Stegostoma tigrinum: one gene and its partner. The protein of the gene in region 1 purifies or fractionates together with the protein of each later gene. This does not show direct contact. Links are inferred from orthologs where the notes say so. Each region holds a gene or a part of one and is shown on either strand. Other genes may lie near its edges.

What was found.
Region 2: the proteins of PH domain leucine-rich repeat-containing protein phosphatase 2-like (region 1) and Na(+)/H(+) exchange regulatory cofactor NHE-RF1-like purify together in Homo sapiens (co-immunoprecipitation; 3 studies listed by BioGRID and IntAct, with this or other methods). This does not show direct contact. The link is inferred for Stegostoma tigrinum from reciprocal best matches to the Homo sapiens genes PHLPP2 and NHERF1.

Annotation. Positions count from the first base shown.
Region 1 is NC_081369.1:35,900,740-35,908,482, reverse strand, and holds the start of PH domain leucine-rich repeat-containing protein phosphatase 2-like, read left to right. Parts: upstream 1-4,558; 5' UTR 4,559-4,733; coding exon 4,734-4,925; intron 4,926-7,743. UniProt on the Homo sapiens protein: Protein phosphatase involved in regulation of Akt and PKC signaling.
Region 2 is NC_081375.1:37,094,382-37,102,608, reverse strand, and holds the start of Na(+)/H(+) exchange regulatory cofactor NHE-RF1-like, read right to left. Parts: upstream 3,050-8,227; 5' UTR 2,891-3,049; coding exon 2,453-2,890; intron 1-2,452. UniProt on the Homo sapiens protein: Scaffold protein that connects plasma membrane proteins with members of the ezrin/moesin/radixin family and thereby helps to link them to the actin cytoskeleton and to regulate their surface expression. Necessary for recycling of internalized ADRB2.

The sequences.
Region 1 (7,743 bases):
ATTGCGAGAATCCTGTCATGCCCCCAGTGCACTGGCACCAAGTGCTGCAAGGGCACAGTGGTCTAGGACGGTACTATATGGCTATGTGGGATACAGGTATTGCACAGGGAAAGAACACATTCCATGGTTTTTAACCTGGCTGTCTACCAGGAGTACACTCTTGATCTCTTAGTGTACTTCAGGCCCTCTGCATGTATAGCTTGCCTTGCATTAACGTTTAGCATACAGACAACCAGGCAAGTGGCTATACTGTGCAGCAGTTCTTAGTTAAGGGCATGTACATCTTGCCTTACTTCAGTCGGCCAGTTGCTGTCATTATAGGGGCCAGTCTTTATAGAGGGAGTGGGGTGGTACTGTCATGGTCAGGGACATGCATCTGTCAGCCAAGGGTCTGAGCATAGTGGGCTAGCCTAGGCTAGTGCCAGAAGGAGAAGTCAACCAAGGGGCTGAGCCATGATTATCTGTCACCTCTATTAGCAGAAATTAAGGGAGTAAGGGTCAGGGTCAGGGTCAGGGGGAGGGGTGATATGGATGGTACTTAGAAAGTGTGCAGTTTTAGTCACATATCCGCTGCAAGGGGATGGTCTGGGGCACTATGAGGCTGACTGGATCAATGGAATGGTCACCTGAGGAGGACAGGGTCATATTAGGGGTCTCTGTGGCATGTTAATGCTGAGACTGAAAGCCTCAGAGGACTACTCACTGTGTTTTGCCATTGATGAAACTTGTGGATAGTGGAAGAAAAGGGCTAGAAAGAAGAGTGTAAGTGAGGTGAATTGTGAGGGATGGGGCTGCATCTCCAATTATTCACTTAACTATTGCAGGAGTAATATTGTTCTCAGATGATTTGTTAGTCATACAGGCATACACATTGCTGCAGGATGACTAGTGGTAGGCACTGACTATCTCTGTTGAATCACTCCATTACTATCACTGTTGGGGAACTTCTTGTGATACATATCCCTGTGCACAACTGAACAGTGGGTGATGGGGAGGGATGTAACACCCAGCTTGTTGCAATGAGCATATGCTATGTACGTGTGCTGCTATCCCAGCATCTACATGATGTATTTGTTGGTCATCACAGACCTTTTCAAATATTCCATGAAGTCAATGGCTATGGATTGATGCCACAAGGAACTACACGTCATCTTCAGCTGAAACAGAGACAGTTTCAATATCAGGAAAGCTGAAATGCAAGATGTTATGTAATGTTAAAACTATTTCCATACCATTGGTTGTGGGGAAAAAAAAATTTAAACAGGAAAGCATTTTGTAAATAAACCATTAACATAATAGTGTGGTAAACAAGCTATTTGCTTTGGTATAATCATCAATAAATTATATGCAGGTTGGGCAGGCATTGCCCATACAAGACATTTGTACGTTTCCCTTGCTAGCTGAAGCCTGTTGGCTCTGGGTGTTTGGTGAAGTGGCCTCAGGGATGTTTGGACCTGGCTGAGTTAGACACACATTGATCTAGGAATTGGTGGCTCTGAACAACTCCAAGGCTCCTGTGCTTGTCCTCCATGGCAGCTATCAAACTGTCCAGGCAGAGAGAGAGAGCCAATTTATAGGGGCTGACTACACAATCTGCAGGATAACAGGCTGAATCAATGGACTAGCTGCAGTCTGGGAGATAACAGGCTGTGAATTTACACTGTGTGGTTGCTTTCTTCCAACTTCTCAGCAATGAGGGCCTGTGACTTCTAAATGCCTACCTGCTGCTGCTCCTGTACATCTGCACAACATCCCTCATAGCTGACAACATCAGGTCATCTGCTAGGGGTTTAACAGGTGCCTGATCAATGACAGTCCTCTGACTGCAAGTGGCCTGGAGTGTTTCTCCCTTCTCCATGTGTGGAGATGCTGGGGTATGAACTTCACTGGGTCAGTGTCCAATGATATATTGCATCCATGCTTCTGAGTGGTCCAGCAGGCAATGCAAATCATGGTTCCTCCAATTGTCCTCTATGATAATAGCAGGAGGGATCAAGGAACTCTCCTCCTGAGAGAATGGATCCACCTGAAAGACAAAGGGCAGAGGGCATTACAGCCACTGGCTAGTAGTGGTGTTCAGTACTTTGTTAATACAAGTGAAATGACCAACTGTTACTAACTGGGGTGGCAGGACATGGATGGCTCCTCTTCTTTGCTAGACCGGTCCCTGTTTTTTCCTGCCAGGGAAGCATCCTTTCCTTGCAGGTGGTGAGGCATCAGTCTCTGTCCTGTTACAGGATGTCTTCTCCTGTAATTATATGAAGGGGATAAATGAGTAAGACACAAGTGGATGGTATGTCCATTAGTGTTGGTGGATGTGGGATGCAGGTGTCGAAGTGGTCTGACAGAATGACTAAGAAAGTGTAAGTGGAGTGAGGGGGGGAATGAGTGAGGGAAGGTGTTTCATGCACTAGAGTGGGTGTCAGATCATAACCATTGGTGGGAGGTGGATGCTGTCTGCTACCTCACACTTACCTGTGCCACAGCAGAGTACTGCAGTTACTCTGATGAAACAAAGAAGACTACTGACCTCCTTCCTCACCCTGGAGATGGTACCGACCCAGGCGGCGATCTCTGACTCCTCTCCTCTCCACAATACCATCCACAAGGACTTCAAAGACCCTTTCCCGGAAGTATAGTTCTAGTTTCCTCTTCTCTGCTATCTCTCCTGATACCTAACATGGCCAGGCAGCACAATGTTAGCACTTCTGCAGATACACTGTGCTTTGAAAGATAACACAGGTCCAGGAGATGCTGGTTATATGGAGGACCCCTGCTGAGTAGCATGTTCTTTGGGAACAGTGCCTGGTAAGATAAGGCAGAAATAGGGTGTGATATTCACTGTGTGTGAAAGCAGTGACTTTGGCAAGGTACAATGAGAAAACATACACAGCCGTAAGGCAAGAATCACCTCACCCATGTGCTGTGAATTGCACTTCAGTCTTGATCTTAAACAGTAAAACTTAGCCGTAAAAAACATATGTGGACTCTAGGAAAGCTGCTGTCAGTTTCAATGGAGTGATGACAAGTTTGTTGTCATCATTACTGCAAAATCCAAGGCATGCTGAAATGCTGTTAGTGTTGATAGTAAACAAATGAGCAAACAAATTTGAAGGCTGGGACTGTAGGTAAAATTGACTGTGTAATTGTTACAACCAACAGAAAAACCACATTCCTTGATTAATGAGAATAACAAGGTGTAGAGCTAGGTGAAAACAGCAGGCCAGGCGCCATCCGAGGAGCAGGAAAGCTGGCGTTTCGGGTCTGGACCCTTCTTCAGAAAGGTTTCTGAAGAAGGGTCCAGACCCGAAACTTCAGTTTTCCTGCTTCTTTGATGCTGCTTTGCCTGCTGTGTCCATCCATCCCTGCACCTTGTTCTGTCAGACTCTCCAGCATCAGCAGTTCCTACTATCTCTTCCTTGTTTAATGCTGTTCTAGCATTTACAAATAAAGCACAATATCATCTGCATCCTTTTACTTAAAATTGTATTAAATTGTGATGGGATTCGTGGTTTTCAGAGCGCCTCCATCTTACCTGGGCGGCTGCAGCTTCAGCCTGTATTAGATTTTGAGCTGTGGCTGCTTTGGGTGCAGTTACTTTGGGTGGGCCATTTGGAGATTGGCAGGAGGAGCTGGCTTTGATCAGGTTATGCAAGATAGCCTTTATTTCAGCTTGTCTTGGGAGAATGTTCTGTGGAATGGGAGCTGAGCTGGTGCTCCACACAGATAAATTGGTTTTGCTCTTGTGGATGTGATGGTGCTGATTGTTTTATTAAGTGCAGAACTGGCATTTCCAGGATGTTCTTTTCAGCCTCCAACAGGGGTGGGTGAAATAAACCCATCTGACTTGAGGTTGCAATGGAGGATACATGAAGCAAGGAAAACACAAACTTTGGATCTGGAAGCAGGCAAAAGGCAAGTGCTGCTGCTTCTAAAGTTATTTGAAAGCAATTGACCAGAATTAGATTTTTTTTAATGTTAGTGGAATTGTAACAATTGACATCTGAAAACCAGTTAGCAAAAAATTGTTTCACATTTAAAACACAACTATTCAAAAATGGACACTAAAGTTTCTGGTATACTTCTAACAGAGGTTTCCTTTAGCAAGAGTCTGTTTAGCTGGATTGTATATTTTGAATAACACTGTAATAAACAATGTAGATAGTTATTATCCCGTTCCTGTAAATGTATTTTTAGTCAACCTGTTGGGACGTTTTATGATAAGACTAGTGGTATTTGAATCGAGGCCTTCTGGTTGGGGGTAGGAACATTTCCACTGCAGTCCTTAAGATTTTGTATTTCTAAGTTCAAGGTATGGTAGATATTTTGTTACTCAAAGGAGCTGGGATGTTACGATACGTCTCTGGAGCAGCGAGGACTTCAACCCGGGCCCTCCTGTTTCAAAGGGAGGGACACTAACATTATGCCATTAGAGCCTGCCATTGTGACTTTGTAGAATGGGTGACGCAGTTGGCCTATTTCTTGGATAACACCAATCGTTACTATGCAAATGACGCACAGTCTTATGAATAATGTATGATATGCAGATGAGCACATACCCCCGCTCGAGCGTGGCGGCGGCGGCCTCTCTCCGACAGAGCGAGCGTTGTCATCATGGCGACGGGAGAGCAGTGAGTGCGCAGGGTTCATCCTGCAAGCGTTGACCCTTTCGATCGTTCGACATTCCTGTTCTTTCTTGCAATTATTTTGGTCTCGATGCGGGTGTAACCACAATGGCTGAGGTAACATCGCCGGTGATGGAGGTGGGGAAGCGGATTCCATGTGCAGCGGGGTTGTTGGGCGAAGGCAGCAGCCCGGGCCCCGTCGCCGCTCTGACAGTAGAACCGCTCTCTCCACAGCCGAAGCCTGGCCCCGGATGCGGCTCGAGTTCGGCGGTTGCAGGGAGGGGAGTGCGCGTCTTAAAGGTAACGTTCACAGTCTGGCTCGTGTTAATTGACCTCTGAAGAATGTAGGTAATAATAGCCTCAATTTTTGATTTATTTCAAGAGATGTCCCGTCTTCCATTTCAGATGTTCAAATGAAAAGTTATCAAATGTGGCTGATTTGCTTGGATTAGTATTTTTATTAGTATTTGCTTGGATTAGTATTTTTACAAATATTTGCCCACATTAAAACGTTGCGGTTTCAACGCAGCGGATTCCAGGTGATCAGCTTTTCCCTGGCTCTGTGCAAGATAAACGCAGTTTTTTTATGTCACGCTACCTTTAACTGTTAATGATTGTCCTAATATGGGAAATACAGATACACTAAATGTGTATATTTTTGAAAATTGCATATTGCAGTATTTTCAAAGCCAGTCTCTATATTTATTCATCTAGTGTGCAAGTCTACATGATAAAAATCGGTTGCAGTAAAATGACCTGAAGGTGAACAGTTGTAAAATGCGTCCTTTTTTTTCCTGTTAGGAGTTGCACCGTCCTTATGTTCCTCTAATATCTTGCTGAACAGTGAAAACCTGTAGGAACTACCAACGCCCAGATCATTAGAAACAGAAAGTGTCAAGTTATAGGTGTTGCAGATGAATTAAAAATATTTTATTCATAGCTCTGTACCGTTAAAATATTTTCATATTTTGTTAAAGTGCTTCATGTACAGGGAAGGAGGGGTCCTTTAGGTGATGGCCTTCTAAAATGAGATAGCAAAAATGAAAGTGGCGAGTCACATTCGGTGCACGTTCTGTTCTTTTTGGCATTCCTGTGACTTGGCATACTGGTGGGTTTCTTGTTCTCACCGTAGTCAGTGGTGGACGAATTTAGACTCAGTTTGTTTACAGCAAAGAAATAGGCCCTTTGTGTCCATGTCAATCACTGAACATCCATTTATTCTAATCCTATTTTCCAATATTTGATCTGTAGCCTTTGTGGTGTTTCATGTGCTCATCTAAATACTACTAAAATGTGTTGAGGGTTCTTACTTCTACACCTTTTTAGACAAGGAGCTGTTGACACCCACTACCGTCTGGGTGAAAGAGATAACAAGGTGGAGAGCTGGATGAACACAGCAGGCCAGGCAGCATCAGAGGAGCAGGAAGGCTGATGTTTCGGGCCTAGGGTGAATTTCTTTTTCCTCACATTCCCTTTTAAACCTCCTGCTCCTTGCCTTAAGACTGCACCGCCTTAGGAGCAGAAAAGCTGACGTTTCAGTCCTAGACCCTCCTGTGATGCTGTTTGGCCTGCTCTGTTCATCCAGCTGCACACTTGGTTATCTCGGATTATCCAGCATCTGCAGTTCCTACTGTCTCTTAAAACTGCAACCCCCGGTTATTGATCACTCTACTTTTGGGAAGGTTGTTTTGTTGTCTACAGAGTACATGCCCGTCAGAACTTTATATACCTCAATAGATTTCCTCGCCACCCACCTTCCCCCAAGTGCCTTTTTACTCTAAAGAAAACAACACAACCTATTCATAGCTGAATTGTTTTTGCACACTAGTGCAATCATATCCTGCCTATAGTATCGCAACTAGAACTGCATGCAGTACTCCGGCCATGGCCCAACTTGGAGAAGGCAAGAGAATAGGACTGAGAAGCATAATAGCCACGATTGAATGGTGGAGCAAACTCAGTTAGCCAAATGGGTTAATTTTGCATGCTATATCTTATGGTCTTGTAATCAATACCTTGAGTAATAAAGTTAAGTATCCTATATGCCATGTGATCATCTGCTTTTGCTGCCTTCAGGGATCTCTTGACATGCACACCAAGGACACTGACATTTTCTGTATTTCCTAGGCTCTTGCAATTCAATGTGTATTCCCTTGTTAATTAGATTTTGCTAGGATGCATCCCTTCACACTTTAAAGGATGAATTCAGTTTGCTACTATTCAGCCCATCTGACAAGCCAGTTCTAAAGCTTTCCTTCTTGTACTTTACCAAACTGTCAATTTTTTTTGTATCATCGGCAAACTAACTGATCATGTCTCTTATCTTCATGTCTAGATCTTTAACATACACAACAAACACCAAGGGACCCAGCGTTTCAACTCTGTGGCACACCACAGGACAGAGTCTTCTGGTCACAAAAACAGCCTTTGACTACCACGCTTTGCTTCCAGCTACTGTCAATTTTGGATCCAATTTTCCAACTGCTCTCGAACCCACAAGCTCTTAGCTTCTTAACCAGTCTGCCATGCAAGACCTTGTCTCCATCAACTTCAGTTAGGCTTTGACCAGATCAACTGCTCACTACCCTTATCTGCACGCCTAGTCAATTCCTCTATTCAGTCAAATTTCTGAACATGATCTTCCATTTACAAAACCATGTTGATTGTCCGTGAGTAACCCTTGCCTGTCCAAGTGGAGATTAATTCTGTCCTTGAGAATGTTTTCCAAATATTCCCCGACCACAGATGTTTTACCTCCCTTGAATCGTGGTATCACATTAGTTGTCCTCTGGTCTCCTGACATTATTCCTGTATCCAGAATGGATTTGAAAATTAATTCAAAGTGTATGCAATCTCCTCCCCTGGCTCCCACAGCAGTCTGCCATACTTCACATCTGGACCTGAAGATTTATGTACTTCTTTTGAGCCTGCCAAAATCACTAAAAGCTCACCCCTCTCATTGCTAATTCATTCAAGTAAATAATATCCCTGTCTCTGGTTTCTATATATACATTATCTTCTTTAGGGAAGGCGATGGCCTAGTGATATTATCACTCAATTGTTAATCCAGAGAGTCAAATAATGTTCTGGTGTCCTGGGTTCAAATCCTGCCATGGCA
Region 2 (8,227 bases), on another chromosome or scaffold:
CTGCAATAAGTAGGCTCCTCCTCTCAAAAAGGAGAAAGTGGCCTCATTCAACTCGCTGATAATAAAATGAGAGGCTGGATGAACACAGCAGGCCAAGCCGCATCTCAGGAGCACAAAAGCTGACGTTTCGGGCCTAGACCCTTCATGACGTCAGCTTTTGTGCTCCTGAGATGCTGCTTGGCCTGCTGTGTTCATCCAGCCTCACATTTTATTATCTTGGAATTCTCCAGCATCTGCAGTTCCCATTATCTCTCATTCAACTCGCCGTCAAGATAAGCAGCTACAGCATCTGAGGCAGGGGTGGATGGGGGAAAACATACAAAGTGCAGAGATTTTAAATTCAAGGTGGCATTCACACCACCATGTCTGTGCTGGCTGAGAAACCATGTAAATTGATCTCACTTTCTAGGTTTTGGTTCTTGATTTTTTTTGGTTATGACACCTCAAGTGGAAAGAATAAAAATTTAGTACTTGTTAAAGTGATAAGGATTTCTGCCTTTACAGCCCTTTTGGGCAAACAGTCCCAGGCTCCCACCATCCTCTGGGCAAAAATGATAACTCATCACTCATCCTTCTACTAAATATTTGAAATGTGGGCCTCCTATTCTTGGTCTCTTGAAGAGAAATAAGGCCTTCTGATCCCACCACTATCTAAGCTCCTCAATTTTATACCAGTTAATTAAACATCCCTTCAGACAGCATTATTTCAAAAAACAAACCTTCAGCTAAAGCAATTCTTCCTTGTAGTTAAATGCCTGCATTTTCCTCTTTAACCTCTAGTTTATTCTCACTCTTCCTGCAAGACAATGGCCAGACTATCTGCAGTACTGAAACTGTGGCCTTACTAGTGCTTTAAACAGCTTTAGCATAACCTCCCTGCTTTTACAGACTCGACCTCAGTTAATAAAGTAACATGCAAGGCTTCTGAAGGAAAAAAAAGTTTTAAATTGTTCGCAGTCTTCATTTGTTTGATCAGAAAACCTTCTGGATCCCAACCAGGCTCGAAATCTTCAAGAGTGAAAAACCTATTCTATGTAATCTTGCACAAATAAGAGATGCCTTTGGTTTGTTTGTTGGATAGAGTCAAACGCCAAACTGGGTCTGTTTCAGTGACATGAAACTGTACATAACATTTTGTTATAAATAAAGTATAATTTTGAAATAAACTCAGCAGGCCTGGCACATCTGTGGAGAGAAATCAGAGTTAACATTTCAGGTCCAGTGACTCTTTCTCAGAACACAGATAGGTTCTAATGAAGATGCACTAAACTCAAAATGTTAACTCTGTTCTCTCCCCACAGAAGTTGCCAAACTTGCTGACTGTCCTCAGCAATTTATGTTTTTGTTTCAGATCTCCAGCATCCACAGTTCTTTGTTTTATTTTAGTTTATCTTACAACCTCCAGTCTCCAGAGGGCAATCCACAAACTTTCGGTAACAACTTTCAAGCGACTGGTGCAAAAAAAAATCTTTTCCCCTCATCTTTAGATCAGAAAAGGATTGCAAGACATGGAGTTTCAGTCCCCTAACAAGATCCAGTGGGAATTACCTACTGACAAATCTAACAGTATAGGACCAGCTTTAGTCGGGCTAATTAGGTTTTCAGTTATTTCACCACACAACCATCCAATGAGCAGCTTCAGCTCTTACTGCTCAGACTCTGACCTCAATACCTGAACTGTGATCGTCACAATAAATGCTGACTGAACTTGCAAGTTTGCAAGTATAAAAGAAATTGCTGCTCATACGTGCTGAAATGCAGAGTTATTGACCCTTGTCTCCTGTGCCACAGGAGGACGGGAAACCTGAAATCAACACCCTTTCAATCCAGATCACAGTACAACAACAGATTTCACCAAAGTTTCTTCCAGTACCAAGGACAGTCTGTTCTACACTAGACTGTTCAGTGGCATCCTGTGAAAACTCTCCCCAGTCTTTAGATGTTTTCTACTGTCAGCTCATTCATCCTGTTGTGGGTAGAGCCAAATTCTATAGGGTTGTTCACTTAGGAAAGTAAGTTTAGCATCAGATTTAGACCCTGGACTTACTGCCTTAGAAAAACCGAGTCTCAGGTGAGGACCAGAGCTGACCCCTCAGCTAGTACAACGCTTCAGCACAGCTCACTGGTGTTACACACACTGGCGGCTACTGGTATTCTTATTCCTAAATCCTTTAACTTTAGTTCATAAACTACTACAGATGAATTGCTGAGAGAATCTCCTCAGGGAAGGACGACAGCGGCGGCCTTCCTCTCCAGACGCTGCGCATTCCCATCACCGAGGGACCCGCATTCCGGCCGTCCCGACCCCAGTGCTCCCGTCCCTCTCGTGCCTATCCCACACCTTCTGTGGCAGAAAGTGACCCCCTCCATCCCGGGTAATGTCCGCCACTTCCCGTTACCCTATAACGTTCCCCGTTCTCAGAGAGGTGCGCCCTCTGGCCAGCCTCCTCACCTTCTCGCTGCTGCTCTGAGACACAGTGTCTGCCGCTTTGGTCTCGGCTGCCGGGCTTTTCTCTTCGGGCTCCTCCTGCTGCTCCTGAACCGATTCCGTGGGGTCGGGGATGCCGTTGATGTATTCCTCCTTGCACACTAGCCCCCGGGCCCTCAGCAGCTCGTCCGTCTCCCTGTCCACCACCAGCAACCGGGTTTGCTCAGCCACCGCCTTGATCTTCTGGACCACTTGCTGGTGGCTGTCCTGCTCCACATTGTCCCCGTTCACCTGAACCACTTTGTCGCCGGCCCGCAGCCCCGCTCGCTCAGCTGGAGAGGCCGCTTCCACCAGGCGGATGAACTGGCCGGTCTTGCCCTTCTCCCCATGCAGGTGGAAGCCGTATCCACTCGGGCCTTTCTCGATGACACAGAGCCTGGGCCGGAGTTGCTCCTTGGTCATGATGGGGATACCCCTCAACCAGTCACTTACTCAGGGACACTATATTAAAGCGTCACTCTGGGATACTCTGTATCCAACTGAGACTCGAAGCTATTCTCTCTGCGCGCGATTCACAAACCATCAGCACAACCAGGGACGGCCTTTCCTTGATTGACAGTTCGTCTCTCCAATCACTAACAGCGCGTCTTCATCCTCAGCCAATCGACACCCTCCTCCGCAAGGGCCCCCCCTTATTAATATTTATTCCACGTTGCCTTCAAATTTGCATTCTCACTGACGTGACCAAGCAGGAGTTTAACATCTATATCAGTTAATGCAAAGTCTGCAAAACTTTGCAGAGAAATGACGAATTCGATGCCGCGAACACTTTTCAAAATGCCATGGCGTAACCTGTAAAGAAGGCTGCAATACGAACTTTAAGAATACTTGCAAACCCCGCCACGGTCGCCGGGCAACTTGTTGATTGACAAGTCTGAGTGAAGCTGGAAGCGGTAGAACTGTAAATTTAGAAAACTTGCAGGTAAACAGTGAAACAGCAACAGTGTATCCTCTAGTTCACACTACATACTCAACTATAGAACAATGTAATATTGGCACACGCAAGAACAAATCTTAGTAAAATATATACGATAAAATTTAGGGTTTTTTAAACATTCCCTCCATTAGTGCTGCCAGTGCTGTCTCCTGCTGGTTAAAGAATGCATTTTGCAGAATTTACAAGATTTTCTTTTGAGGATGTAGATGGTTTCAGGAAAGTCAAGGTTGTTTTTGTCATTTTACTGAAAACCATTAACAAGATTTTTAACATACGAATATGTACTTTGTGGAAATGCTGTTCCTGTGGAAAACAAAGAAGAAAGGAAGAAAGAGACTTAAATAATCACTGACACTGCAAAGAAAGAGCGAACAAAACTAACAATTTTTGTGAAACTGATGGCCTCGGCCTTGGATGCTTAAAACAATATTTGTTGCAGATGTACTGGGTGTATTGTTTGTATTTCTGAAAAATTTCCTAGATTTTGGATAGAATGGAGCAATCAGAAATTAGAAATATAATAATGAATGTAGTCAGCATAGATTTCAAAAATGAAAATCCAGCTGGATCTTAGAATTTTACAGGATAGAAGGTGGCCGTTTGGCCCATAGACTGTGTATGGTGGCTCCCAGAAGAGCTACCCAGTCAATCCCATTGTATCGAATGCATTGATTTGATTTGATTTATTGTCACACGTACGTAAAACAAATGTTAAGTGTTCAGAGATAGTAAGAACTGCTGATGCTGGAGCCAGAGATAAGCGTGGAGCTGGAGGAACATAGCCGGCCTTTTCTGAAGTTGACTTGTAACGTCAACTTTCCTGTTCCTCTGATGCTGCTTGGCCTGCTGTGTTCTTCCACACTGTTATCAGTTGAAAGTGTTGTTGTGTTGCAACTTTCCAGTGCCATCTTAAATCACAGAAAATAAACCAAAACACAGAATATAAAGCCAGAAAAATAGAACAATCAAGTTCATCTTATAGTCTTATTTCAATACAGTGAGCTTGTCTTTGGAATAGCTCCCACATCTAGCTCAGCCAAATCAGGGGCCTGGATCAGAGCCCCTGAACCCTAACATCTTGAATCCCTGCTACTAAACCGACTACACGGCTGCAACTGTGCATCATCTCGGAAGAACTGATGAACATACTAATTTTTTCAGGAGGGAACACAGCAGAAAACGTGGTAGATGAAATTTATCTTAATTTTCAAAAGGCTTTTAGCAAGGTGCCCCAGAGTAGATCAATAAATAAGGTCAAAGACGAGTGGCAGATGGCTTTGCGACAGAAAACAGAGCGTGGGAGTAAAGATTGGTTACTTAGAGCAGCAGACGTGGTGAGTAGTGTTCTACTTGGATCAGAACTTAGGTATTCTACAACAAGTAACACCTCCCAACTCCACATAGTCTGTCCACCATCTACAAAGCACAGGTCCGGAGTGTGATGGAATAATTCTTAGTTGCTTGGACAAATGCAACTCCAGCACTCTCAAAAAGCTTGACCCCAAAAGGGGAGGTGATGGCCTCGTGGTATTATTGCTAGACTACTAATCCTGAAACTCAGCAAATGTTCTGGGTACCTAGGTTCGAATGGGGGAATCTGAATTCCATAAAAAAGTCTGGAACTAAGTATCTAATGATGACCATGAAGCCACTGACAATTGTTGGGAAAACTGATTTGGTTCACTGTTGTCCTTAAGGAAGGAAACTGCCGCCCTTACCTGCTATGGCCAACATGTGACTTCAGACCTGCAGCAATGTGGTTTGACTGTCAACTGCTCTCTGAAATGGTCTAGCAAACCACTCAGTTGTTTCAATTTCTTCAAAGTCTCAACAAAGGAATGAAACTGGATGGACCACCTGGCATCAACGTTGGTACCAAAATGACAATGGCCAAAAAGGCACTGATGATACTCTATGGTCCTTCTTACCAATATTTGGGGCCGAGTGTCAAAATTGGGAGAGTTGTCTTACAGACTAGTTAAGCAACAGCCAAACATAGAAATACTGGCGGCATCATACCTTACAATGTACCAGACACCTCCATCACCATCCAGGATATGTCCTGTCATGCCATATGACAGACACAACAGAGGCAGTGACACAGTGGTCTACATTTGGGATGAAGTTGCCCTCAACATTGACTCTGGAATCCATGAAGTTTTGGTAGATTGAGCACCTAAAATACAGTGATTGGTCAGGAACAGCAGGGTGTGACTGCAAGTGAGGCAGGTAAAATAATCCCGTACTCAGGAACTGAGGAGACTCAGCTCTTGAACCTGTCCAAAAGATACAAGGTATTTGCTCCCTGAGGACCAGAGCTGTAAGGAGGATGAGCCACTGACCACAGCACTGTGGTACATTGGGCCATTCAAGAGGAGGGAGCAAAAAGACAAGTGGTAGTTGTAGGGCATTGTATACTTAGGGGAATAGAAAGCATCCTCTGTAAGCAGGGTCGAGAGTTCCGCATGCTATGTTGGCTGCCCAATGCCAGGGTGAAGGATATCTCTGACCAGCTTGAAAGGATATTGGAGAGAGAGGGAGAGGATCCCGTTGTTGTGGTGTATGTTGGGACAAACAACATAGGCAAGACTAGGAAAGAAGGACCTGTTTTGGGGTTTATCAGGAAATAAGAACTAAATTTAAGAAAAGCTCCATAAGGGTTATAATCTCCATTTCACTACCTGAGCCATGTGCAAAATGGCATAGGGAGGCAAGAACAAGGTAAGTAAACATGTGGCTAAAAGAATGGTGTGGGAGAGAGGGGTTCCTTTTCATGGGGCATTGGCATGAGTACTGGAACAGGAGGGATCTGTACTGTTGGGATGGTCTCATGGGATGATCGAGCTGGGACCAATGTTCTAGCGAAAAGTGTAAATAGGCTGGTCAAAAGGACTTTAAACTAGAAAATGGGGGGCGGGGGGAGAAAGGGTAAAACATAAGGAAGTGTAATGGCCGATAGGAAACAAGGCAGCAGGTTAACATCTGTGTACGGTGGATTCAAATGCATGGAAAAGTATGAAAAACACTGAAAAGGGAAGGGAAGTCAGGAGAAGTTATTAAATCCTTCCAAACACAAAAGGAGACAGCATTTGGAAAGGGTTAGGAATCAAACTTCAAGCACACCGGATAAAGGGATGACAATGAAGAGAGGGATAGTAAATACAGGACTGAAGGCATTGTATCTGAATGCATGCAGACTATGAAATAAGGTAAATGAGCTTGTGGCACCGATCAAAAATGGCAGGTACGATGTGGTGGGCATCAGGACTCAACAGCTAAACATCCAAGGATATACATCCTATTGAAAAGACAGGAAGGTGGACAGAGGGGTTGTGATTACCTTATTAGTAAGGAACGTAATTACATCAATAGCAAGAAACGATGTACAGTCAGATGATGTAGCATCTTTGTGGGTAGAGATGAGGAACCACAAAGGTAAAACAAAACATAATGGGAGTTATGTACAGGCCTCCAAACAGTAGTCAGGATGTAGGGTAGAAAATACACCAGGAGATAGAAAAGGCATATAAGAACGGCAAGGTTACGGTGATAAAAACCGAAATTGCTGGAAAAGCTCAGCAGGTCCAGCAGCATCTATGAAGAAAAATCAGAGTTGATGTTTCAGGTCCAGTGACCCTTCCTCAGATCAGGGTCGGGTCTGGTTACCTTTCCTTAGATCAGGGTTCTGAGGAAGGATCACCAGACCCGAAATGTTACCTCTATTTTTCTTCACAAATGCTGTCAGACCTGCTGAGCTTTTCCAGCAACTTCTGTTTTTGTTCCTGATTTACAGCATCTGCAGTTGTTTCAGTTTTTATTAAGGTTACAGTGATCCAGGGGAATTTCAATATGCAGATGGAATGGGAAAATCAGGTTGGCAGAGGGTCACCAAGAAAAGGAATTTGAGTAAAGTCTACAAGATGGATTTTGGGAGCAGCTTATGGTGGACCTCACTAGGGAACAGACAATTTTGGATTTAGGGATATGCAATGAGGCTGACGTGATAAGGGAGCTTAAGGTGAAGGAACCCTTAGGAGACAGTGACTCTTAATATGATAGAAACTACTCTGCAATTTGAGAGGGAGCAGCTGGAATCAGAAATAACGGTATTACAGTTGAATAAAGACAACTACAGAGGCATGAGGGAGGGGCTGACTAGAATTGACTGGGAGAGAAGCCTAGCAGGAAAGACAGTGAAACAGCAATGCCAGGAATTTCAGGGAGTAGTTCAGTAAACACAGCAAAAACTCATCCCTAGGAAATAGAAGCATACCAAAGGAAGAATGAGGTAACTATGACTGACAAGGGAAGTCAGGGGCAGCATGAAAGCAAGAGAGAAAGCATATAATGCAGCAAACGGCAATAAGAAGCCTACAAAGACAGAGTACAACTGAAAAAGAAACAAGGAGGGAGAAGGTTAAATTTGAGGGTAATTTAGCCAGTAATACAAAAGGAGATTGCAAAAGTTTCTCAAGGGCAAGAGAGAGGCAAAAGTGAACATTGGGCCGCTTGAAAATGATGCTGGAGAAGTAGTATTAGGGAACAAAGAAATGGCAGAGGAACTGAACAAGTATTTTGCATCGGTCTTCACAACAGAAGTCATGAGTAACATCCCAAAAATTCAAGAGAGTTGGGAAGTGGGAGGTGCAGAGGTAGTGTGGTAGCCATCACCAAGGAGAAGGTCTGAAGGTGGATAAATCACCTGAACCAGATGGGCTACACTCAAGAGTTCTCGAGATAGTTGAAGACATGGTGGATGCATTAGAGGTGATCTTTCAGGACTCACTGAATCAGGGAGGATC